Alligator mississippiensis: one gene and its partner. The protein of the gene in region 2 purifies or fractionates together with the protein of the main gene of each other region. This does not show direct contact. Links are inferred from orthologs where the notes say so. Each region holds a gene or a part of one and is shown on either strand. Other genes may lie near its edges.

The links.
Region 1: the proteins of SIKE1 (region 2) and STRIP2 purify together in Homo sapiens (affinity purification with mass spectrometry; 3 studies listed by BioGRID and IntAct, with this or other methods). This does not show direct contact. The link is inferred for Alligator mississippiensis from reciprocal best matches to the Homo sapiens genes SIKE1 and STRIP2.

The regions. Positions count from the first base shown.
Region 1 is NC_081827.1:5,102,992-5,115,026, reverse strand, and holds the start of STRIP2 (striatin-interacting protein 2), read right to left. Parts: upstream 4,425-12,035; 5' UTR 4,396-4,424; coding exon 4,327-4,395; intron 1,472-4,326; coding exon 1,402-1,471; intron 1-1,401. Other genes in the region: AHCYL2 (adenosylhomocysteinase 3), read right to left, coding at 9,523-9,529, 10,926-11,046, 11,664-11,742, 11,858-11,926. UniProt on the Homo sapiens protein: Plays a role in the regulation of cell morphology and cytoskeletal organization. Required in the control of cell shape. Calmodulin-binding scaffolding protein which is the center of the striatin-interacting phosphatase and kinase (STRIPAK) complexes.
Region 2 is NC_081837.1:45,647,774-45,659,603, forward strand, and holds SIKE1 (suppressor of IKBKE 1), read right to left. Parts: upstream 5,229-11,830; 5' UTR 5,221-5,228; coding exon 5,128-5,220; intron 4,903-5,127; exon of another isoform or gene 4,884-4,902; coding exon 4,713-4,883; intron 4,634-4,712; coding exon 4,528-4,633; intron 4,173-4,527; coding exon 4,030-4,172; intron 3,351-4,029; coding exon 3,237-3,350; intron 2,567-3,236; coding exon of another isoform or gene 2,555-2,566; exon of another isoform or gene 2,547-2,554; coding exon 2,445-2,546; 3' UTR 1,028-2,444; coding exon of another isoform or gene 1,022-1,027; 3' UTR 438-1,021; downstream 1-437.

The DNA of each region.
Region 1 (12,035 bases), on a different chromosome or scaffold from region 2:
GCCTTTTGCTGTACAGGCACGCCTGACAGTGCAGCACCCTCCGCCGGCATCCTCCTGGTCTGGAGGCCGAAGCTTTGGAAAGCAGGAGAAACACCCCAGCGTACCGAAATCTCCGCAGACTCTGCTGTACGCGCAGCAGCCGCAAATATGCTCTGCCGTACATGCAACAGCAGCGAACGTGCTTTGGGTTCCCTGCTCTCTTGCTGTTATTTTCCTCCAAAAATGGTGGAGCCCTTAGATTCAGGGATGTTAGGGGATGCCCCAGCCTTTCACTGCCTGGGCCTGAGCCCACACATCCACAGGCTGCATTTTCACTAGAGCAGCAGACACAAAGTAGAGAAAGGCCCGACCTCACTGTGACGTGGGACCATGTCCCCGATGATCCTGCTCCAAGAGCTTTCGACCACCTGAACTGCAATCTAGCATCAGCAAGAGAGGGATCTTTGCTGCAGAAGGGTAGCGATGTGGTTTAATGAAGCAGCGTCTGGTTACTGGATGGGCGTCTCGGTCCCCTGAGTGCTGATGCCTGGGGAAAGCACTGATGAGCGGATGCTACGAGCCCTCTCTCTGCTGCTACGGAGAGGATACAAGCACTTGCATCCCCCAGCTGCTGAACCTGGAGTTTTGCAAGCGGTAACTGTGCTGGCGCTTGGGTCTGGAAGTGCCCGTTTCAGCCCTCCACCGCGGCCAAGAGCACGCGTCGCCCACGCATTGCTAACCGAGGAAAGCTGGACTATCGGCCGTCAGCGTGAGCCCCAGCAGAGATCCCAGCCCTGTTCCAGCTGCAAAGCACGTAACAGACTGGCACGAAACTACATTACCAATGTGAGCTCTTCGCATACAGGAGAGAGGGGATCGGGGAAGAGGCCGATTTCTCTTGCCCGAATCCTTCCCAGACGCCTTGCACTATTCAAGACACCACAGGTGCCATGCGCACGTGTATGTGTATGTGCACGTGCATGTGCTCTAATGATTAGTGAACTCAGACATGGATGAATCCAGGTTGGTCAGGGAGGGGTGGAAGAGGAGGGCCCCGCACACCACAAGCCACTGCCGACGTGACATCAGGGCATTCAAATATCTCCAGCAACTTGGCTACAAGGCCCTCACGCCTCACGCATTTCACTTCCCACCCAAACCAGCGGCACCGTTCGCAGCTCTCCTGTCCCGCCCCGCGAATGGCTGCGTTTCAGCGGGGGAGGAAGTCACTTCTGCTGCGCGTGGTTTGCAGAGCACTCTGCAATCCTCTGGGGTGAGTGGCGCTCTATTAATATAGGATGATATTATTAAATATGCATCTCCCACCAACCCCAGCCTCGCTGTCTACCCAGCAGGCAGCTATTAATAGCGAAGTTGAACTCGTGCGCAGCAAAAGCCTCGGCTCCCCGCGTGCCTCTTTACCTGACAGTTCAGCCGTGTAGCCGTCGGTGTCCCCATACTCGAACTCCAGGCTGGGGTAGTCCACTGAACCCTGCGGCAGAAAGAGTCTTTGTTAATGCAGCGTCAGGGCCCGTTTCCCATCCAGAGGAACTGGAGCGATCACGATTCTGCTAATCGATGCGCGTGTCAAACTGAGCAGCCAGGGATGTCCCAAGAACGAGGCCAGGAGAGTCGAGAGAGGATGCTAAGGCTACATCAGGATGGATCTCCCCGTTTGACTTTTGCAGCATCCATGAAAGTTGATCAAACCTTGGCCCCAGGGAGCAATCACCCCAGCAGACGGGAGCTCTTCTCTAGGGCCGGGGCAGGGAACGCGTGCAGACCATTTACCATACACCGCCTGGTCGGAAAGGCTATTTTGATCGCGTTTCCAAAGCCACTTGGGTGTTGCTATCACCCAAACAAGGACCCAGCGGTTCCAGACTGCAACTCCTACATTTAATAGTGGCACGTGGGCATCCCGGGCTGCTCCAACCTGTCCGAGAGCCTGGCTCTTTACAAGGAAGCGGTAGTTAGCTCTGTTTAGAGAGAGACGTTTTTTAAAGAAAAAAGTTTTAAAAGCTTTTTTAAAAGGGACTTTTCTTTCTTTTACGCATCCGACAATGCTCTGAACCATGCTACAAATGCCACCCAAGGTGGTGCCTGAACGCCTGCCTGCCCGCACTTCCACCACCAGAGAAGACCCACCTATCTATAGATGCAGATACAAATACTTGGGATGCTTTCCTAAATTAAGGCTGGTGTGTTATGCTCCATGAGGAACCCTGCGGAGGGGCGACTGGCAGCACAAGGGACCGCTCAGGGCACGTGCAGACAGAAAACCTAGCACTAAAGGGTTTTTTTGTCTGTCTTTTTTTTTTTAATTGAAAATATTAGTAGATACAAGCGTACGAGGGCACGCGAGCTGGGGAAGATTCCTGAAATCACAATACAAAATGCAAGAGCCAGTCGTTAACAAGGGTCACAACCAGGCACGGTGTCCTCCCGTTTCCCTCCTCGCTACCGAGCCGTGACTTTACTCTCCCTCCGTTTCCAGCCATGTTGCAGTGGCTGTCCACAGACATCTCCCGTATTTCCCGGGCCCCGCAGTGACGATGCACCGTGTAGGTGTCGTACCAGGGAGAGGCAGGCAGCTGTGCTAGTCTGAAGTCAGGTAGATTTGCACCTGCTAGTCGAATACCAGCCATTGGGTATTTTCCCCACCCATGCTACAGTGTCCCGAGGCTATCGTTTCGCCTCTGCAGAACACAGCTGCTCAGGCTGCAAGTAGGTCTCTACCCTGTGGAAACTCTGCCGGCCAAATCAAGGAACTGGGGCATGAACCTTTTGCAAAGGATCTGAAGAAACAAGTGCAGGAAGGCAACGTGAGCATGTGCACGCGACCCGCTAGAGGACACGAGGCAGCACAAATAGCAGCCGAAGGGAACCAAAAAATTATTCAGAGTTGAGAAGAACTGAAAAACACGGGACTGCATTAAGCGGCACATGCAGTCTGCCAGGCTAAACTTAATGGGTGCGTCTACACTTGCATTAATGCGCCTTTCCTCATGTGCAGTAAATTAGTACCTCCAAGGTGCAGGGCTACATGAACGCATGTTCGGCTGTGCTAATACGCAGGAGCACGTTTGCATGCTTTTTTTAGTGACACTTAATGCGCAGTAGGCTATTAGCATAACGTCACAGTGTTTATGTGATGCTTTAATGCGCAGTAAAACAATCTACTATGCAGTAAAGTGCACGTGTAGACGTGCCTAATGTCCTGGGAGGGTACGGCCTGTGACAGGCGAGCCTGGCACCGTGCTACGAAGGGTGCAGAACGAGCAACAGAACGTGATTGCGCCCCTCGGCCGACAGAGGAGGCAACGTGGACCCCCACCTGTTTCCTGATCCCTACATGCAGAAACTGATGTCCAGTATCAGTCGCACTCGAATAGCAGTGATAGCCGTTATCACCGGCACAGCAAGAAGAGGTCCAAGGTCACCACGCCGAGGCACTGCATTAACGAGGACCCGGCACCCGGAGGAAGAACTAACACTGCCGCTATTCACAACGATCACGTCCCCGGCACCCCTCTTGCGGGCTTTGCCTTGCCGTTTCCGGGCCCGGCGAGCATCTGCGTTGGCCTGAGGAGGCTTTTGAGCAGAGTTGGCTCGTGAAATGTAGCCTCAGTCGCCTCCCCCCACTCCTACCCCAACGCCAAGTGCGATTGTAACCACGTAACCACTCGCATTCAGACTTTTAGTGACAAGCCGACCGCCACGGGCTGTATCGGAGGCTCGCCCGCCCGAGCCAGGACGGAAAGGGCTGTGAAGCGGGTGAACAACTTGCGCGGTCAGAAGCGAGGAGCCAGGCTGGACCCGCTGCCAGCAAAACCCTGCGGTCGCTCCTGGGGGGGATTCAAGCTAGGATGGGAATCCCGGCGGCGTGAATCTGGAGCCACGAACACGGCCGGAGAACTGTTATAGCCGGGGCAACGACTTGCTGTACCGGCTATATTTTAAACGAGCGGCGTGAAGCACGCGGCGCCCAGCCCGCCCTCGCCTTTCCAACAAGAGACCCCAGACCCGAGCAAATCCCTTTTCTGCTTCTGGTTGGGGATCGTGCTTTGCACAGGAGGGTTTGGACGGGGCTGACCCTGTCTCAGGCAGGGCGCTGGACTGGACGCGACCTCCCAGCCCACGCTCCGGCAGCCTCCAGACTGATCCAGCGGCCTCGTTAGCCCGCAGCCACAGCCGGGCTGCGCCGCGCACCCGGCTCCTGTCCCGAGACTTCAGCACGCTTCCTCCCCTGCCCTCCCCTGCCCTCTTTGCAGCCGGTCCAGAGCCCACGGAAAGAGGGGCCCGGCTCTCTCCCCCCGACGGCAGGGGAGGTTGCATAGCACCCACCTGGGAGCCGGCGCGCGGGGCGCGGAGCAGGTCCCGGCCGTGGGCGCGGGCGGGCGCCGCCTCCTCCATGTGTCCGCGCCGCTCTGCGCCCGCCGCGCACGTGGGGCGGCTCCCGCGGCCCCGCCACGCCCCCGCGCGCTCATTGGCCGGGGGGCGGCTCCGCGGGGACACACCCCCGGGCGCCCGTTGGCCGCGCCGCTGGACGGGGCGGGGCAGTGGAACGCGTGGTTTCGCCGCGCCCCGCCGCGCGCCCATTGGCTGGCTGCGACTCGCCCCCCTGGCGGCGATTGGCTGCCAGGGGAGGGGCGGGGTGCGAAGGGCACGTGGAGGCGCGGGGCGAGGCGCTGGGTCCAGGCCCAGGGACCCCGGGCTCCTCCCTGCCACCTCCCTCCACGCCTGGTCCCCAGCACCAGCCCACAGTGCCACCGCACCCGCGCAGACCCCCCACTCCTGCATCACTGGGGGGCTCGGGGCATCCCCGCTGGTGCTTCCTCCTCCTCCTCCAGCTGCCCTCGCTGCCCCCCTGCGGACAGGAGCGGTGAACGGGACTGTCCAGGCAGGGCCGGGGAAGGGCACACTGGTATTGGGCACGGTTTCCAGTTGCCCCCACGGGGCTGGAGCCAGGAGCTGCCTCTGGTCCCGCAACCCTATGGGCAGAGGCGTCTGGTCCCTCCCCTGCCCAGAATAAAAGGCGCTAATGCTTCCCCGGGATGGAGCTGGGCTGTCCCGGGTCAGTCCCTAATAGAGGGGGTGGAGGGAGGAAGGGCAACCTTTTTGGCCGCTGATCTCTGTGGTCCCTCCCTCACCTCCCGCGTGCCGCGCAGACGCTGCTCGTGTCACTCGCGGCACTGCGCTGCAGGGTGGCCTCCCCAGTCCCCAGCCCCAACTGCTGGCCAGGCTGCACGCTCCCTCCCCCTGCTGGCGGAGGAGCAGCAGCACGGCTAGGGGTGTAGATGGCCGTGCCGATCCGGGTGAAACTCAGGAAAAGCCAGGCCTGTGTCAAACGAGACATCTCCTTCCAGCCTGGCCAGGCCGGGGCAGGAGACTCCCCAGCAAAGGATCCCCCAGGCCGCAGCCAAGGCTGCCAGCGCCCCGGGCGGCACAGATTGCTGCCAAGTCACTGCTCATTAGGTTCCCTTCCGCCCCCCAGTCCCACGTGCCCCCAGTGCCGGGCCTGGATGGGGAGAGGCACTCAGGTCAGAGAAAGTGAGAACCTGCCAGGGGGACACGGAGCCGCCACCCCGACACGGGAACTGCCAAGACAGTCAGCTCTGCTCCCCCTGCCCGGACAGGGGACGAGGGGAGCGGGGCTGGAGTCTCGTCATGCCCCAGGGTTGACTCAGATGTGACGTCCGGCTGCCCCGGGACCGCGCGGCCCTTGCCGTTCCCACCTCTCAGCCCTGGTTTTTGGCTCCTCTTTAGCGCTCGACTGCCCGGGGCAGACACCGGCCACGGTCCCACCGCTGTCTGTGCACGGTGAACACAGCCCAGGCACCAGCCACTTTTCCGACGCTTTATTGGCGTTTTGAGATTACAGAGTCTTTATTGCTGCTCTAATACAATCACTCAGACATGAATATTTAAAACATCCGTTTGAAAAGGTTACGCTTCGCAATGTCGTCACCGACTGTAGATGTGACAGATTATTTCATTTTTGTCCTGGTTTCTAAAGTTCAACAACCGAATGCTCCTCCTCAGATCATCGTGCTGGTGTCTCCGCTCTCCTTTCCCCCCCTCTTTTTTTTTCTTTTTGAATTTGTTACATTAAAAAAAAAAGAAAAGAAACCCAAAGAAACCCCCCGGGGACAACTCTGAGAGGAGGATCCCAGATTGATCCGAAGCCAAGCAAGCGGAAAAGCTTATGGAAAAGCGGAGTCACATAGAGAAAGCTTTTTAAAAGATTCAAGGGGAAAGAAGTCATTTAGGAGTATTTGGTGTCATTATTAATTCATTAATTTTTTCCTTCTTGTATCTACACAGAAGATAAAATAGGTTTAAAATCAGCACAGGCTCTCCGGGGAGGACAGCCCCACCACGGGCCACACTACCGACGGACGTGGACCAGGGAAGCGACTGTCCTCAGCTGCGGGGATGGGACCACTGTCTCCCCCGGGGCAGAACCAGCCTGGCTTTGGACCCTACTTCTCCCGCCGTGACCGATGCGACCCACAGCTGCCCTCCCCCACGGCTCCGCTCCAGAGATGACATGGCTGGCCGGCGTCCCCAGTGCCACGAATAAGGTAGTGGGTGGCTGGCGGTCCCGCCGCGCTGGTGTGAAAGACCAGCTCTCGGGGAGATCAGCTGTTGCCACATGCTCAGTTGGTGCCAAGTGCGGCCAGCACAGCAGATGCCCGCTGCCCACAACGGGAGACTGCTGACGAGCCAGGCCGTGGGGTGCCCTGGGCTCCAGGCCACGTGAGATGCACTGCCAGCCCCAAACCCTGCCAGCCATGCTGCCGTATAGCCAAGGGCCTCAGTCTTTATCCCAGTTTGGGACATGCGTGCCCAACACAGATGAGAGCGTGCTGGGAGAAGAGCAGCGTCAGCCGTTGCTAGCCAAGGCCGGGATTTCACACCAGCGCCGTGACACCCACCTGGGGAGGCTGAGGCAGCGGGCAACGGTCGCTGCAGAAATACCGTATTGCTCCTTAACTGACCCCGGGCCCGAGCGGTGAGAAGTTGACCTGCAGAGCAGAGGCAGACCGGGGCCGAAAACCAACACCCATTGAACAAGCAGTGTCACATGCCCGACGTAGCCCTGTGAGATAAAGAGCAGGTGGCCATGTTGGATGTATGGATGTGCCGTCAGACCCGAGACAAGACCACGGTCTAAGCTACATCGGATGTGAGTTGCGTGTTCCCCGGTCCCTGGCTATCAGGATACTGCGCTGCGACCAGTGTGTTGCACTGCCGGGACATGCTCCCCTTCTAGGTCTGTCCCTTCCTCCTTGGCCGCTCGGGCAGCCGCTACATGCCAGGATCTTGAAGAGCAACACAGGTCTTTTGCCCCCCAAAGCATGCAGCCTAAGGGTGAAATCCTGGCTCCCATGGAGTCAACAGAAGGCCTGCCCCTGATGGCCCGGGGGACCGAGATTTCAGCCCACGTTTGCAAACACACCAAATGGATGAGTCTTGTAACGAAGTCAGGTCCTTATAGACTGGACAACTCGACCGGTGTGATGGAATATGGCCAACCTGCCTTAGGAAAACACTTCAGGTGATCTCTTTCTAAAAATGTTACGATCCAAGTATAATTTGCCAAGAAGAGAAGATTCAGGGAACGTCCCGATCGCTGATCATTCTGCCGTGAGTCCCTGACACGTGGCTGCCGAGGGTTTCCGACAGCACGTTAGAAGGAAAGCTCCATCATGTGGGTTTTTTGAGGTTTTACTGAAAAGCAAGAGAGGCAAGTTTGCTGTAGGGAGCAATCCTGATGCGGGATGAGCCAGCCTAGGAAGCAGTCGTCATCTCTAGGGGCGACAGTCCTACACCCTGCAGGTAAGACCACAGTTCATTGGGGGGGTTTAGTGTGTAAAGAAAATACCACAGAAACCTCTTTCAGGAAGGCTGAGGATCCAGAGAGCTTCCTCTGATGAGAGGCTCAGATACCATGGTGGAGAGCAACGAATAAAGGCCTGGGTGCTCAGGTCAGTGCTTCTCGTGGAGGTTTGGCAAGCGCCGGCTGAAGTTCTTGCAGTTCTGATACGAGGAACAATGTTCTCAGGATGATCGGTACGATGAGACACGGCCATTCGAACAGTGATCTTGCGGGGCGTGCGTCTGGGTGCATCGTACGTACTATCCAGGCGGGACATCTCTGCCAGAACAAGCGATGATGGCAGCCTTGTCTTCCATGACCCTCCCACCTCGAGACTCGATGTCTCATAAACACGACAGCGATTCTGAGCTGAAAACCTAATCCTCAAGCCAGAGACCGTAGCGTAGTAATTGCGCTGGGGCTTGGTGCTCTCATAACCAAAAAAGGTTTTCCAGAATTCGTTCAGCGATGAACTATGGAAAGAAGGCGCTGGCAGATCCAGCGCTGGGAGTCTGGGAAGCGTTTCTGTTAAACGGGTGTCGCTGTACACGGCAAGGACTCCAGGCGAGGGCTGAAATACCGACTGGAGAAGGATCCGTAGCATCAAGAACAGTCCTTGGACACGATCAACGTTGCCGCCTCCCTCCACGGCAGCGAGAAGACTGCGCCCAGGGGGTGTCGTCCCCAAGGTTGACCCCGAGATGGAGGCGGCGCTTGTCAACAGAGCAGCAAGGCTCTCCCACGAGACAGCTCGAGGCCCCACGCCGCAGTCCAGGAGGGAGATCCCTTTGGTGGAAGTGTGGCACTGGTCGTAAGCCGCAGAGAAGTACCGCAAAGCGGCTGAGCAGGTGCATCGGTGGGTCTTGTGCTCCATGGACGGGAACCCTAGAGGGACTGCTTGAGAGCGGGCTCGTCTCTGCCTTGCTGGCTCCCGATTCTGGGCAGGGGCGTCCCCAGCTCGGGCTGTCGACTGAACCCCTGGACTGCAGCTTCCGGCAGCACTGGGGCTCGTGGTCAGAGCCGCCGCCTTGCCGGACCAGCAGAATGAAAGGAGAGCGCTACCCTGGGGACCCGCCGGGAGAGGCACGAACACGGTAGCACCCCTCCAGCAAGAGCGAGAGCCAACGAGGCGGTGCTAGTTTGGGTTTCAAACGGTGGGAGAAGTAAAGAGCGGAGCCCCCCAACCGGCCCTGCACACTGAGGCCTGGTTCTTGCGACTGCCGTGGATTTTGCTTCCACGCAGAAAACGGGAACCCAGAGTAACGTCTCGCCCGCTTCCCTCCACACCTGTGTATGCCAGTGGGGACAGCGATCGCGGGTTACTTGAAGCTGACAGAGACTTTGCAGCGAATTCACTCAACCAGCCTTCCTTTTTGCCTCCGACTTGCTTCCTCCACCTCCCCCCCCGCCCTGACCAAAAATAAAAGAAAAGAAAAAAAGAAAAAATCAACCGTCTCACAGTCCCATGGCAGTAAAAAACACCATTGGCAGAGGCCGCATGTACAGTATTCTAGTTTAATAAATAAATAACCTAACACACTGTCTACTATGTGAGCAAGTCCAGCTCTGACTTGGGAAGCTTGTACTGTTTCGTCCTGTACAGTAGTTGGGAAAAGACGTGAGTTCTTCTTCCTTACGCTTCTTCTGGCTGCGGGAGCTTAATACCTGGGAAAAGAGGTGAGACACGAAGCTTTCAGTGAGCGCAGAGGCGTAAAACGTGCGCGGTTCTTGACTTATCGGCCTCAGACAGGTCTCGCTCGCCCCTCACTCCGATCATTTTGGGGGTTTGGGAGCCCTCAGGTCGGCACCAGCGCCTGGGCGAGTTGTGTCCGACATGACTCCGGGGACATCCTTCTCCAGGGCTCACCGGGACGAGGGAAGTGTTCACCCCCAGCTCTGACAGCTCGCTGGGGGCGCACCCACTTGCTCTCGTGGCAGAAAGGAGCGCTGGGACTTTAATGAAGGGGAAGATGTTCTTTCTAACGGGCTGGCCCCAAACAGCGACGAGCTGAGGACTCCTACCGCGCTGCGCTGTCATCTACTCTGTGCAGGCTATGAGGAAGCCAGCGCCCACTGGCAGAAATGGGGAGGGAGCGTTAAACAAGTGGGGGTAGATGCTCAAGGGCACAAAGAGGAGGACAACACGTCAGGAGGACTATCTGCCCCCACGTGTGATAGAGAGTGCGCTGCATGGAGAGCACACTGCTCGCCGCAGGCTCGGGTGCGATGTCTGTGTGGTGTCAGGGCTGACTGCGTCAATCGAGTCTGGATTAACAGTGTCGTGTTGGACGACGGATTTATACGGGCTGGTTTGGACAGGGCTGATCCTGCCTCGGGACTAGATGATCCCTGAAGCTCCCTTCCAGCCCCACTTCCCTATGACTCTTCCCCAGAGGAACGTAACCCTGGGGAACGGGCCTCGGTGCCCGTTCTGCGCTCGTCGAGCTTGAAAAATAATTGGGCATCTGAGCTGGCCGGACGGCCGCGCTGCGAGCTCTGCTGCTTTCCAACGACAGCTGCCGCTGGGTATGCCAGGTGGCCTCGTCTCGGCAAGGCGCCGAGGCAGAGCTCTCCCTGTCCTGCACCCCCACTGCACACAGCATGTTGGGACACAGGAGGGCAAGGGGCCTTCTGGGTCAGTCTAGCCCCACCTGGCCAAATGGCAAGCACCAGGTCACCAGCGATACCCTCCCTCTGGATCGGTGAGATCAGGCTCTTAGGTCCCTGCCACACGTTACATATATCATGCAATTAACTGGTGAATCGCGCCGTAAACTCAGACCAGTCATACGTGCAGAGTAATGATGAGCATGCCATAAAAATATCCATCCGGCTATAAAGAGAGCTGATCAGCTACAAAGTTAGTGGCTGAAAATGCGTAATAACTTTACAGCGGGTTTCAATCCAGCTTTAGTTTGAATGTGTGGCAGGACCCTAAATCGTGCACGTTCTTGCTCATGCAGACAGCTTCGAGCTGATCCCCGCACGCGCGCAGATGTGGGCAGCTGTATCGCCCCCTCCCCCACCTCCCAGAGAGGAATGGGCTGCCCCAAGCCAGCACCTGTAGTAGTTTGGTTTGAAAGGCCCGTTCTTATTCAGCCCCAGGTATTTCGCTTGCTCGTCCGTCAGCTCGGTCAGGTGCGCATCGAACGTTGGGAGGTGCAGACTCGCCACATACTCATCTGGAATGAGATCAAGGCCTGGGAAGTGAGCGAGGCCCTGGGTCCCCCCCTCAACACCACCCTTCTGCACGGGGTTCACGGAAATGCTCGCTACACAGGGTTTTGCAGACTAAAGTCCCGAACCAAGTGCAACGGTCTGCTGTGGCCCATCCTGCCTGTAAGAGGAGTCCTGTCCCGGTACAGAGTGCAGGGCCTGCTCTCCTGGGTCTTCATGCCCCGCCACCGCTTTAGTGTTTCCTCCTCTGTTCATCCATTTAGGTCTCACCAAGCAGTGCCAGACCGGGAGGGCTGTGGCTTGGGCAGGGGTGTGGAGATAAGACTCCACCCTGGAGCTACAGCACTGCTGCCCACCTTCCTGCACGGAAGAGCTTGGGGTCTCCTCTCTACAGACCCTGAGACGTGCAAACCTCCTGAAAAGAGGTGCCTGCTTTCAGCGGGACCGACAGCCTTGCTCAAGGTGATGCCCAAGAGGGCTGACTCAGCTCTCCGCTCTCATTCCCCAGACACAGAGCCCAGCAGGAAGAAAGGAGACAAATGCAATATGCCCAAGCCACTGAGGTCTCCCACCCCTGCTCCACCTCCATGACAGGAGAACAAGGTGCCGGGTCCATCCTTACCCATCTTCTTCGGCAGCAGGTAGACATCCTGCTTGTAGCGCCCTTCTGGGGCGTTGTACAGCTCTATCAATGCCAGAGCCTGCAGAGAGAAGACGTTGGGCTCAGTCACCCTTGTTTTGGTCCAAGTAGACAGCATCAAGGAGAGGCCGTGGCACTAACCAGGCTCCTGCCCCCTGCACCTGGACCCCGCTCACCTGAGTGGTTGCAGTGATGGACAGCACGAAGGTGGGGACGGTGGAGCAGCTGAGGTTCAGCAGACGGCCCTGCAAGACAGAATAAGACCGTGGCCTTGCCGTGCGTCTCGGGCTGGAGGGGCACGGAGCCCTCCCAAATCCGTGCAGGAGATGCAGGGGCGATTCAAGCTACCGGTGA
Region 2 (11,830 bases):
AGCTCAGCGCCCCCGCTCCAGCGCCGCCATGAGCAGCACGGCACGGCACGTAGGAATAAATCCCGGCCTCTCGCGAGACCGCGGGAGGGGCCGCGCATGCGCGGGGGGCGGGGCCGCCGGCAGCGGGGTCTGCGCATGTGCCCGGAGCTGCGGCCCAGGAGCCGGCGTCGGTGCGTGTGCGCCTGCGCCAGGCTGCGTTGAGGCGGGCGCGGGCCCAGGCGCGAGGCCCTGTGAGGTCGGGCCGGGATGGCCCGAGGCCGGCCTCCTGCCCGCCCCCCGGGGCAGGAGAAGGAGTCGCATGGCCGGCACTCAGGCTGGTGGCCTAAGTCTGGCCCCTCTATCCCTTGCTGCAGCTGCCCTGCGTCAGGGACACCCCCACAGCAGCCCTGCCCACACCCCCGCGACAGGCCGCTCCCACGGTAGTGACCACCACCACGCCACGTACAGTAAGCATTTATTTTGAGAAAAGTACATACTGCTTGGTAGTCCCGAGACACAAACGGACCGTTCCAAGGCTCGCTGGAGCTGGCCGGCGAGGGGGTCGCAGCAGCGCGCAGCACGGCACACCACGCTTGCCCTGTAATCGCTTATCGTACGCTATCTTCTCCCGCGGCTTATTCACAAGATACATCAGAACCAAGGCACGAGCACATGCCCGTACTGCTGCAGGAACTCATCTGGCTCTGAAGGGGGCAATGAAGGCATCTTTAAGGCATAAAGCTGCGAGTGGTGCTAATGTGCAGCTGGCTCGGTTCCCGCTAGTCGGGGCGTGCTCGCGCGCTACTCGGCAGCAGCAGTTTTTCTGCCAATTCGACCTTCTGTGGCGCGCTCCGGCGCTCGCATCCTGGCAGCTGTAACACGGCTACGTCGGAGGCTGCGTTGAGAAGAGACGAGGCCAGTTCTCACCGCTTCCCTGGGGAAAAGTCCACTACAGCAACTGAAGCAACTTGTTGGAAGCATTTTATTTGGGACCTGGAGTTCAAGGACTGTGCAGACAGGGGCTCTTCATCAGCCAGGCATCTCACTCCTACCAACAGTGAATGGCAGCTGAGCACCCAACTGCCTGGAGCTCTCGTGAAAAACTCAGGGCAGCTTTATGAGTTACAGACAACGGGCACAGATACTGCGCTAAAGTTTACTCTTAAAAAAAGCAGACTAGCAGAAGAACACAATTAAAATGGCACCCTCTTCCCACCCTTTGCTTAGTGAGGATCTAAGCAATGACTGCTAGGCAACTGCTTCCGCTTCTGAACTTCACGGCAGCTCGAGAGGCAAACTGCTGTGCAATCCAGCGAGTCCCCTGCCCGTGGAATGCACTTACGCAGACCTCCCAGAACACATTACCATAAAAGCAAAACACACGACAAGAAATGGCTCAGTTTCAATCCCTGCACTTAAAATACCAATCTCCCAGGCACGAGGGGAAAGAGAAGCATGTTGCTTGGTCTCAAAAAGAGTTCTGAAGAAAAACTTTCTTTGTTTCGTTCATTTATTTTTAACTTGGGATGGAAGAAGGGAGGTTTTTCACCCAGCATCTTCCTATTGAGAATTCCTTTTTCCTCTCTCAGACTAAGCTTCTCCAAAGATGTTCTGGGATGAGGCAAGTATTTCTTCCGTAATTCAGAGACGAGCCCTAAATCCCTCCACGACCACCAAAAATCTGCCTTCTGATGGAGGACTGAACAAATAACTTGACATTCCTATGGAACTGCTAAATTAAATATTAATAATTCAGCTTTCAGTTACTTAGGAAAAGAACTTGGAAGCGTGTATTTAAAAGTCTTCTGTGATTTAAAATACTGTTAGTCATTGGAACATTGAGGTTGCAGATACCAGGTTCGTTACAACACAAGAAACGCAGAAAGTATTACTAAACAACATTCTGTGCCAGTATCTGAACCTGCCTACAACAAGCAGCAGCCAGTCTTCCAGTCTGTATCCCAGCGATGTTAACCCAGCCACACACTGCTTGGTGAGTTAGCCATTTAAAAAATTAAACATATATCCTGGTATGTAAAAGACAGCTCTTCAAACCATCAACTAAATCGCAACCATTACACAAAAAAATAACCACTCATAAAATAAAGCCACCGATGAACTGGGAGTTAAGATAGATAAACTGCTATCTGCACAGGTAAGAGTTTTAACTGAAGCTGAGCTAGAAGCATGCTTTATTAGGGAAGACAAGCACAAAGGAGTATAGCTCATGGTTAAGCTGCCATTAATTGTTATTAAGACTGAGCAGCATTGCAAACCATTGCCATCAGAGGGGGATGTTTCAACAGCAGTGCTAAGAAAATAAATATATACACTGTGGAAGACAGAGAAAAATGAGGGTACCAGGAGACATGTGGAAGAACACCACGCAAAAGAAAGTGAGCTTTCCTGTAGGGTTGGTTCCAGATAGTTTAGTTTTTTAAAAATTCAAGAGCAAAGAGAGACAGTTATTCGGGAGCTTGAGGTCCACTGTCCGGCAGCTCCGCTATCCTCACCGCGGGAGATTCCGTGCTGATGGATAACAGCTCACGCAGCTCTTTGTTTTCAAGCTGCAAAATCAATATTTGGGCTGAAACAGAAATGAACTAACTCACAATTAAAGGACAAGAATGGTTAAGAAAGCCCTGTTGTCTAACAAATTTAAAACCTGACAGATTACTGATAGTGTAATGTAGGGGACAACCCAGCACTGGGAGGAGAGGAGCAAAACAATCTAAGGTCTCTCTCTTTTTATCTCTGGATTATTTGTATCACAAAAGACCTGTGGGTGCTTGAGAGAGGGATGGGTACTGTCCTACTGCTTCCACTTTTAAATCTTTTACTTTGGTGACAAAAGTACACAGACTGTGGGGGCCAAGGTTGGCCTCTCTCTCCTGCACTTTCTATTTCCGGAAAGCAGAGAGCATTTCAATATCAGACTAGGGGTCCCTCTGCACAAAACAGAATTTTCAAGTAAGTTCCAGGCTACCGATTCCTATGGAAATACTGAAATATCAACAGGAATTAGACAATTTGATACTGATCAGAGTTTGTATATATTCACTTACTCTATACAAACTTGACATTAGGTGCCACTTTCGGATTTTTCCTTAATAAGGGGTTTTACCATACCCCTGTGTGAGCACCAGGGATTCCCCTGAACCACTCAGGATCTCAAAACCTAGACAACTTGCTGTTAAGTGCATGTGAGCAGGCAACAGGCCCACTTACCCGAATTCCCAGCTATACAATGGTCTTACCTCCAACTGGGCTAGTTTTTCCTGAATTGTAAAGAACTGATCGTCATCCACTTGAACAGCTTTTCTCATCACTTCTCCCATCTCATAGATTCTGTCTATTTGACTCTCAATCTCCTGCAAACATAAAGCACAGGAGCCAATTATTCTCCTGTATTCAGTTACTGGTGAGGCCTCATCTGGAATATGCTGTTCAGTTTGGGGCATCACACTTTAATTTTTCTTAATCTCTGTGTTGTAGAGAGATTCCAGAGGAGGGCACTGAAACTTTGTTGTAAAACAAATGAAAGATTCACTAGTTAAATCAGTGCATGTGACACAGACCAAAGCATGGCCTTTCAAGTAGTGGCACTGGCAGCTTTTGGGAATTCAAAATAGAGATTCCTTAACCAATTCAACAGCCTGATGAATAGCAAGACTTTAAACTCTTTGTTATCATTTAATAACTGCCTTGAGGAATTATATGGTTTACAATGCATACAAACAACCCGAACACTGGTCACGACATGGAAACTGGGAGGCGTATGCATTCCTTTTTAAATGGTCGATGTTAAAATAATTATAAAGGTACGTGGATTTTTGTTGCTGCACGTGTGGAAAGAGAAGTTTCTATATGAGGGGCCATGGATGAAGGGATCAGTAGAGGTGCTCCTCGAACAGGATACAGAGGGAGTGTGCACATAAGGGACAACAGCACAGCATGGGGCCCCTGTTTTTTTAAAGAGCAAGTTTTATTCCCAACCCTGGGTGGAAACAAGTGACACAAACTGCCTGCCACCTCCCTGCCCCACCTCACCACGGACTGAGCCTGGTGCACTTTCAAGACTGGTTCAGCATCCTCATCTTTTCCTCCCCTTGTTAATTGTAACATCTGCTTCCTGTACTTGCTCATGATCAGTTCCAAAGCATCCTGGTGTTCCTCCAAGGAGATCCACAATTCTGCAACATACAAAACTAATGTTATGAAGAAATCATAACTGCTGCAGAAGGATTTATTTTGCCAGACACAGACTTAAGAAAGGCAAGTTGACAATTGATCTTCAGCGTCTTGCTTACTGATCACCTAGGGAGTTCATTTACAATGTGCAGTCTCAGTCTTCAGGCAACCCAATTTCCCTGAAACTAGAACCACACCTTTACCGGTACCTAGACACAATGAAAGCCGTGTGTTGCACGATGCTGCGACACGTGCGTACAGCCCCGCGCAAGCTGGGCAAGCGCTTAAGCGTGTCAGCATCGCCCCCTTCCTAAAGGTTAGGCGCCCAGGCCGGGGCCGGGGCAGCACACGACTCGCCTCTGTTTTCCTGCTGCAGGTCCCGGATTTGCGTGTTCTCTTGGGAGAGCAGGAGGTGCGGCTTGAGCTTAGACACATCTTTCACGTTGGCGGCCTCGTCGTGAGCCTGGCGAGACGGAGGGACGCGGTTACGGGGCAGGAGGACGGCCGGCGGCTCTGGCCCGCCTGCCACCGCCCGCACTCACCTGCTCGGCTCCCGCCGCCCCTGCCTGCCTCATGGCAGCCACGCGCCTGTGCAGGGCGGCCGACTGGTCGATGAGCGACTCGGCCGCGCTGTCGTGGTCGCGGAGCCGGTCCAGCAGCGTCCGCGCGTCCGTCAGGATCTTCTCGATCGTGCAGCTCATCGTGAGCGCGACCTGCGGGCAGTGAGCACAGGTGTGACCGCGCCGCTGGCCCCGCCCCGCCCCGCCCCCGCCCCGCCTCCTGCGCCACGCCGCGAGGCCGGCAGGGGGCAGACGCACGGAGCGGCGAGGCGCCCTCCGCCGCGCCGCCCCGCCCCGCCCCTCGCCCCCGCTCCCGGGGCGGCGCGGAGCGGAGCGGATGCCGGGCCCCGGGGGGGCGGGGGCCGTGCGCTGCACGCCGGGAAGGCGCCGCACTCACAGTCCGGCTCGGCCGCACCTCGCAGCCGCCGCCGGCCCGCAGGCGGCGCGTGCGCAGCTCAGACGGCGCCGCCGGGCCGAGGGCACCGCGCATGCGCCCGCGGCCCGGCGCCCTGGCGCGCAGGCGCAGTGGCGGCCCGGCGGGAGCGGGCCCCGGGCCTCGGGTCTGGGCCGCGGGGGAACGTGGGTGGCGGCGCCGGGGGCGCGTGGCCTGACGTCACGGAGCGAGGAGGACGCAGTAACAACGTCAGGGCAGCGGGGAGGGGGTGTCGGCTCCGCCCGCCCCGCCCCGCCCCGCCCCGCCGTGCTGGGTGCGCCCGCGGCCTTGATCCGCCGTGTGTGCGCTGTTTGCTCCGGGGTGGACATGGTGCCGGCCCCCCGCGCGCTCCTCACGTGGTCCCGGCCGCCCCCCGCGGCGCAGCCCGCTCGGCTCGAGGCGGCGCGGCCCCGTGGCTCGCTCGGCCGCTGCGGACACCCGCAGGCCGGCGTTGGGCTGCTTCGCCCTGCGCTGCGCGGAGCCGGAGCTGATGGTTGCAGGGGCCGGGGTGGGGTGGGCGCTGGGCTGGGGCTGGGGCGGGTGCAGATCAGTGCGAAGGATGAGGAGCGCGGTGCGGTGTGGGCTGTGGACGCGGGAGACGCGCGCAGGCGAGTTGGCAGGCGGCGCCGCCTGCCAGCAGGTGCGATGGGCGCGGGGAGCCCCGAGGGGTGCGGGACGGATCCCCACCCGCTGCGCACCTCCGGCTCGGCCGGGCATCCTCCGCGGCCTGGAGGGCGTGCTGGTGTGAGGTTGGGCCCCTAAGGCTTTTCCCCGTGGGTCCCTCCTGGCCCGCCGCACCTGCTGCTGTTCCCGCCCGGGCCCGGCCCAGCCCTGCTGCACCAGTGCGGGAGCTCCTGTCAGCGCCCCTCGGTACTCGTCTGCGCAGCAGGTGGAAGGGCAGAGGTGTCGTGGGCACGCAGATCAAAGTGCTGCCCGTTCCCCAGCGTGAGGAAGTAATCCTCGTTGAGCTCAAACACGCAGTATCTGAGGCTTAGGGCAGCTGAGTCCAAACATCTACAGCCGCTCGAGCTGTGTCCTGTGTACGGTAGATACAATTATAGGAACCAAGAAGCGTGTCCGTGCCAAGGCGTGCACGCACGAGTCCGCTACGGAGTAGGTCCAGCTGCGCAGCCGGAAGCCCATCAGTAGGGCTGCCGTGTTGCGGCGGGCACACCCCGAGTATCACGCACCGCCCGTCTGACTTGCCCCTTCGCTTGCAACGCTGGCTTCAGGCCCGTCGTCCTTCTGACGTTTGTCAGCCCTGGAGAAGGAGATGCCGAGGGAGGGCAGGGGAGCGCGTGCCTGGCTTACGCTTTTTTCAGGCAGTAAGGAATTCATCCAGAGGACTGTGACAGGCTGACACTCAGCAGCACAAGCAGCCAGCATCTGCGGGCTGGTTGGTGTTTTCTCACATGCTCTTTCCCCAGCAGACCTTTTAAAAAGGTGAATTTGTTAAATTAAGAAAACCCCAAAACGATGGAGCAAGCTGGTGTGGTACCACATCAGGGAACCGCATCCCAGACCCCTTGATTTGGAGGAATGGAGGCTCTAACTCCACAAATGCTTTACAAACAGCAGTAGCAAAGCTTAAGCCAAGTGATGAGCAATTTCTGTGCTGTGGTGTCTTCTTTCTAATTCCTTTGGCCTCTTATCACGTCAACCTTATATAAACTGAAGAGAATGTATAAAGTTGGCCTCTCAAATTTTTCAGTGTTTAACTTCAATTCGATTAAACACTTATGTATGTGTACAAAGTGAAAAATGAGGTTACGAGAGGTTAATGCTTTAATGCTTTTAATAACTCCTAACTACATGGCTGTAGTTTGTCAAATGCAACATGGATTTGTTTTAGCAGGAACAGCACATGCCAGATAGGAGCAAATCGCTATTTCCAAAAAGAGCAAGCTGTGACAGAGCAAAATGCTTCCAGGCTGTCTTGGAAAACTTTTAATGGAGTGATTCTGTACTGAAAAGTAGTGCAGTGTTTTTAAGTTAAACTACAATTAAACTATAAATATCTAGTAGCCAATACTTGAGTAGCTGCAGCTTTATTAATAAGTTCCAGATGGCTCTCTGCCAAAATTTCAGTAACTTACATGTGAAGAGCCAGTCATGTTGCAGTTTCATTGGTAGTATTCTTCACATAACCACTACCAATTAGCACCATCATTAGCACTCCCCACCTCTTGCCACTACAAGCTATAACACTGCTATGCACAACAGACAGAAATGCTGTGATGAGGATTACACCATCAGGAGATACTGCGGGAGGAAATGGATTTTGAAGTCGCTAAGAAATGCAGACCCATTGTTTATCTTCATTATCCAGTTCTGACAAATCTGGAAGAATTGCCATTGGCACCACATAGTTTATGAGTCTAGTATTGTTTTTACAATTAAAACAAATTTCTGTAAGATGGAATCCAGGCTGAAGGAAGAGAAAAACATTATCATTGATAAATGGATGAAATACACACCCAGCTATTTTAGTCTCCCAGCAGCTATGCTCCGTTCTTGATAACATGCTGACAGATGCATTCCACAATAATTATTTTGCAATGCCTAAGACAGGGTGTCAAAATACTCTGCCCCGTGAAGGCAGGTCTTTTTTGAAGTCACAGTAACAGTTCGGTGTTTTAAGGATTTTGGCACCAGAAACCTTACGTTTTGAATGCATTTACAATCACCATCAATTGAAACGTGATGAATATCTGATCAAGCACCAGTTAAGTCCTCTTGTTTTAATATTGCACGTGTGTGTCCGTGGACCATCATGCGCTACAATGTTTCAGGGACAAATCTTGGGTTCTGTGCTCAAGTCAGTTAATTTGAACCTGGTTCAGCGGCAGGGAGAAGGGAATGATCGTTCCCTACTACAGCATAGCTAGCCACTGAATGCAGCCTTAACCCCGAGGCTCTTCTGGCCCTCCCACCAATTGGTATAGAAGCGAGGTTTGACCAGTGGATCTACGTAGTCGTGGAACCACATGCTCTAGCACTCTCGGTTTGTTTTCTGAGGGCGACTCAAAATGGGGTGTGGAGTGTGGAAACTCGACAGAACTTCCTAGTATCCTACTCTAGCCACGCGCAATGCAGCTGCGTCGGTTTTGTTGCCTACCCCTCTGACCACGTTTCTAAGTAGCCACACCTTTACAGATGGTATAATGCCATTTCTAAGGCAGACTGCATCCTAGGCTGGGGCTTTCAAGGGGGCCGACAGAAGTTAGGCTCTCAAATCTCATTGAAATTCAGCAAGAGTTGGATGCCTAACTCTCTTAGGCGTCTGAAATTTCCAGTCCTAAGCCCCGAGAGCAAAGTGATACGATAGAAAGACTAAGAACCGCTTTCCATGACTGCAGGAAAACCACAGGTAGTGTTAGGGATAAATAGTTTAAGACCATCTTTGTTACAGGACTGAGGTATTTCCCCGCCACTTTACTCCAGGAAAACATTTGAGAACTTAATGAGAATTTATATCTCCCACTGGCTTATTTCTCTATTAATTTTACCAGGAGGATTTCTCATGTCTTTGACATAAAACAGAAGTGTCTTTATATTATCTAACACTAAACCAACTGAAATAAGCTTTGGAGAAGAATGAACACACTCTAATGCTAAACAGGAGCTGTTCACTGCATCTCATAGTTCATTCTTCCTGGGTCATAGTTGGGAAACAACCTTTATGAAATCTGCATACATCCCAGCTGAAAGGTGCTGCCTGGTGACATTTCTGTGGCTGAGGATCAATCTCTAATTTTTATCCTTAGGCTGCAACACAGGATCCTGTTTGCTGAAGAGCATTACTTTTTGATTTAACTATACATAAAGCTATATTCAGGGAAGGCTAACACTGCACAAGTAAGAGCTGACTAGTCAAGAAAATAATATGCAAAACTTGTTGCTTTAAGCTGCAGAAGTGAGTACTGGTGTAAAGTCTGCCAGAGGAGAGTATGGAATGAACTACTGCAAACAAAATCTATACCTTCACCCCAGACCTCAAAGCTCTGGATTACGATTCATCAAAAAAGAGGTAGAGCCTCGTTGTGGTAGGTGCTTTACAGATGCACGGTACAAGACAAGGCTGGCCCAAGATTACGCAAGTGTAACCAACGGAGAATTGGATCATAGGAAGCAAGGATGGGGTAACAGGAACATGAGTGTATTCCTCAAAGGTTTGCTTAGTGTGCCTAACCTTATTAAATCTATTAACAAGAAATGATAATAGAGAATGAAGATCCCCTTGACCATCTCTCCCCCTTCAGTAAAGACAGTATGTTTTTGTTTTTTCCTCTTTGCCTTCTCTGTAGTCGGTATCTTTATAGGGGGAAGTGACGTTGTGACACGAGCCATTATCATCTATCCTACATGCCCTAGGGCCTGAGTACATTATTGGTGCAGAACTGGGCCCCTAGTCACCGCCAGTGATTATACTGCAATCACCAAAATGCCATGAGTTGAGATCTTTTATTTCTTTAGGGATCAGACCGTTCTGTTATCCGGTTGGACAAGCCATAAGAAATAATAGTCTAGGGCCAGGCAATGTTTCTCCTTTTGTACACGTTACCATTTACGTGGGAGAGGCTTAAGATGAAAGGCAGTTTCTACTGAAGCACCTGCTACTCCTGTAAAACAAGGTAGAACGCTACAGAACAAATCTTAGATGAAGACAGTATTTAACTTTCTTTCACAAGTTTGCTTTGAACAGCCGTGCCTCTTGTCATGCCGTACAGAAAAACAGCTTTCCTATCACAAAATAGTCAAGGGTCTCCTGTTTTTTATCCCACATGTAACAAAAATTATAGCAGTGAAACTAGCAATAAGTTTCCCAAGGATTCCTAATTGTTTTGCTTTTATCATTAAATGATTTAGAGTAAAAGCCAAAGTATTGTGCATTAAAAAGGCAAATAATAGTGTCCAGACATTGTTGCTCCTGTGTAACAGATCTCAGATGGACTCTGAGGGAGCTAGCCAAAAGCAATAGATGACTCCATAATTTCTATTTTACTTTGCATGAAAAACAACAAAATGACCACAGTGACTCATAAGCAGAGTCCTAGTAGCTTTAGAATGGCTGTTACTTACTTAAGATTCTGCCCTTTGTTTAAATTGGGTTTGACAAGTACTTTATAAATGAGCAGGAGAGGTGGTTTATGTTTCATTAATGAGGCTGATAGTGGTTAATTACTGAAGTTGCATAAACAATCCAATACCAGATCAAGCAGGAAGGGTCAGTTACACAGAAAAGTTCCAGCTGGACCAGATATGATTTCTTTTAACTATGTGAATACCAAACCATTTACAGGCAAGATCTGCTAGGAGACGCAGGCCATAGGAACTGCGGTTCTGGTGGCAGCTTGACTTAAAACGTGATTCAGCTACAGCAATAGCCCGTAGCAGTTGTCTACAGAGCTTCCACTCTAGACCCTCGTGACACGTCTTAGACCTCCGCCCAGGACACGCTCTCGCACCAGAGGCTGTCCTGCCGAGGGGCCCGTTCCGATCTCAAGGTGCCGAAAGAGTATGTTGTGACAAAGAGAAGAGGGGCTTGCAGGTCAGACTGGGATCATGGTCACTGCTGATTGTCCCTGCGTGGGAGCGTACATATGTTTGCCATGCACAGCCGTTTGATATTACCAGATTCTGGCTCCTGATAGACACAACCTATTCTGTTAATCTTTGCCGTCGGAATGGATGACTGAGTGAGCCAATGCAAACCTGCCAAAATCAAGCAAAGCATGTTTACAGTATCTCGTGATTTCCTTTGCCACCTAAAATGACCTTAAACCAGGCTGCAGATCAAAAAAGGCTATCGCTCCTTTTCAGAGACAAGATATGCCTTATTGCTGAAAAATGTGATGTCAGTTTCAGCTGATTAGATGCTGTAAATAATTAGTGTGATTTGTTTATCCGAGTTGCTGTGCTGGGACTAACGCTCTCAAAACTGGCTATTTCTTGTAAATAATCAGTAAAAAATGGCAGTGTCAAAATAGGTGCCTAGTGATGGCGCCAAGCATTGTTACCGAATACCACTTTGAAAGTGACTTAAGCCCAGATTTTTTTAAGATATTTATCTGTTACTCAGCTGGGTGCTGCAAGGCATACATGATGGCCATGTCCCATTTCCCAAAAGGCACGTGGGCCCCAAGTTCCACTGAAAGTCACTGGGACTTAAGCTAAGTGATTTTTGTAACTAGGATTTACTTATCTAAATCAGTTAAGACTTTGCTACTCTAAGGCGAACAATGCAAAAGTAGCTTTAAAAATCTGAGGCTCAGATACATAAAGTCCCAGTGAAAGTTAAAAAGGATTTAGGCAGACCAGGTTCTTTGGTCGAATCTGATACCTTTTATTAGACCAACCCAAATAGTTGGGAAAAAATTGACTGATTGCCTTTCTTGTATGCATACCAGCCCAGCCCCTGGCTTCTTTACTTTTCATTCCATCCAGGAAGAGCACGCGCCAACTGCTGAAACTTCCTCCGCCTGACGAAAGGTTTTTAAACCCAAAAGCTCGCTTAAAAATTTTTTTCCCGACTATTTAAGTTGGTCTAATAAAAGATATCAGATTCACCCAAAGAACCGTGTCTGCCTATGCCCTTAGACCAACATGGCTAAAACCTACACCCCTGTAAAAAGGATTTAAGCACTCAAGTAACCTAAGCCTTTTT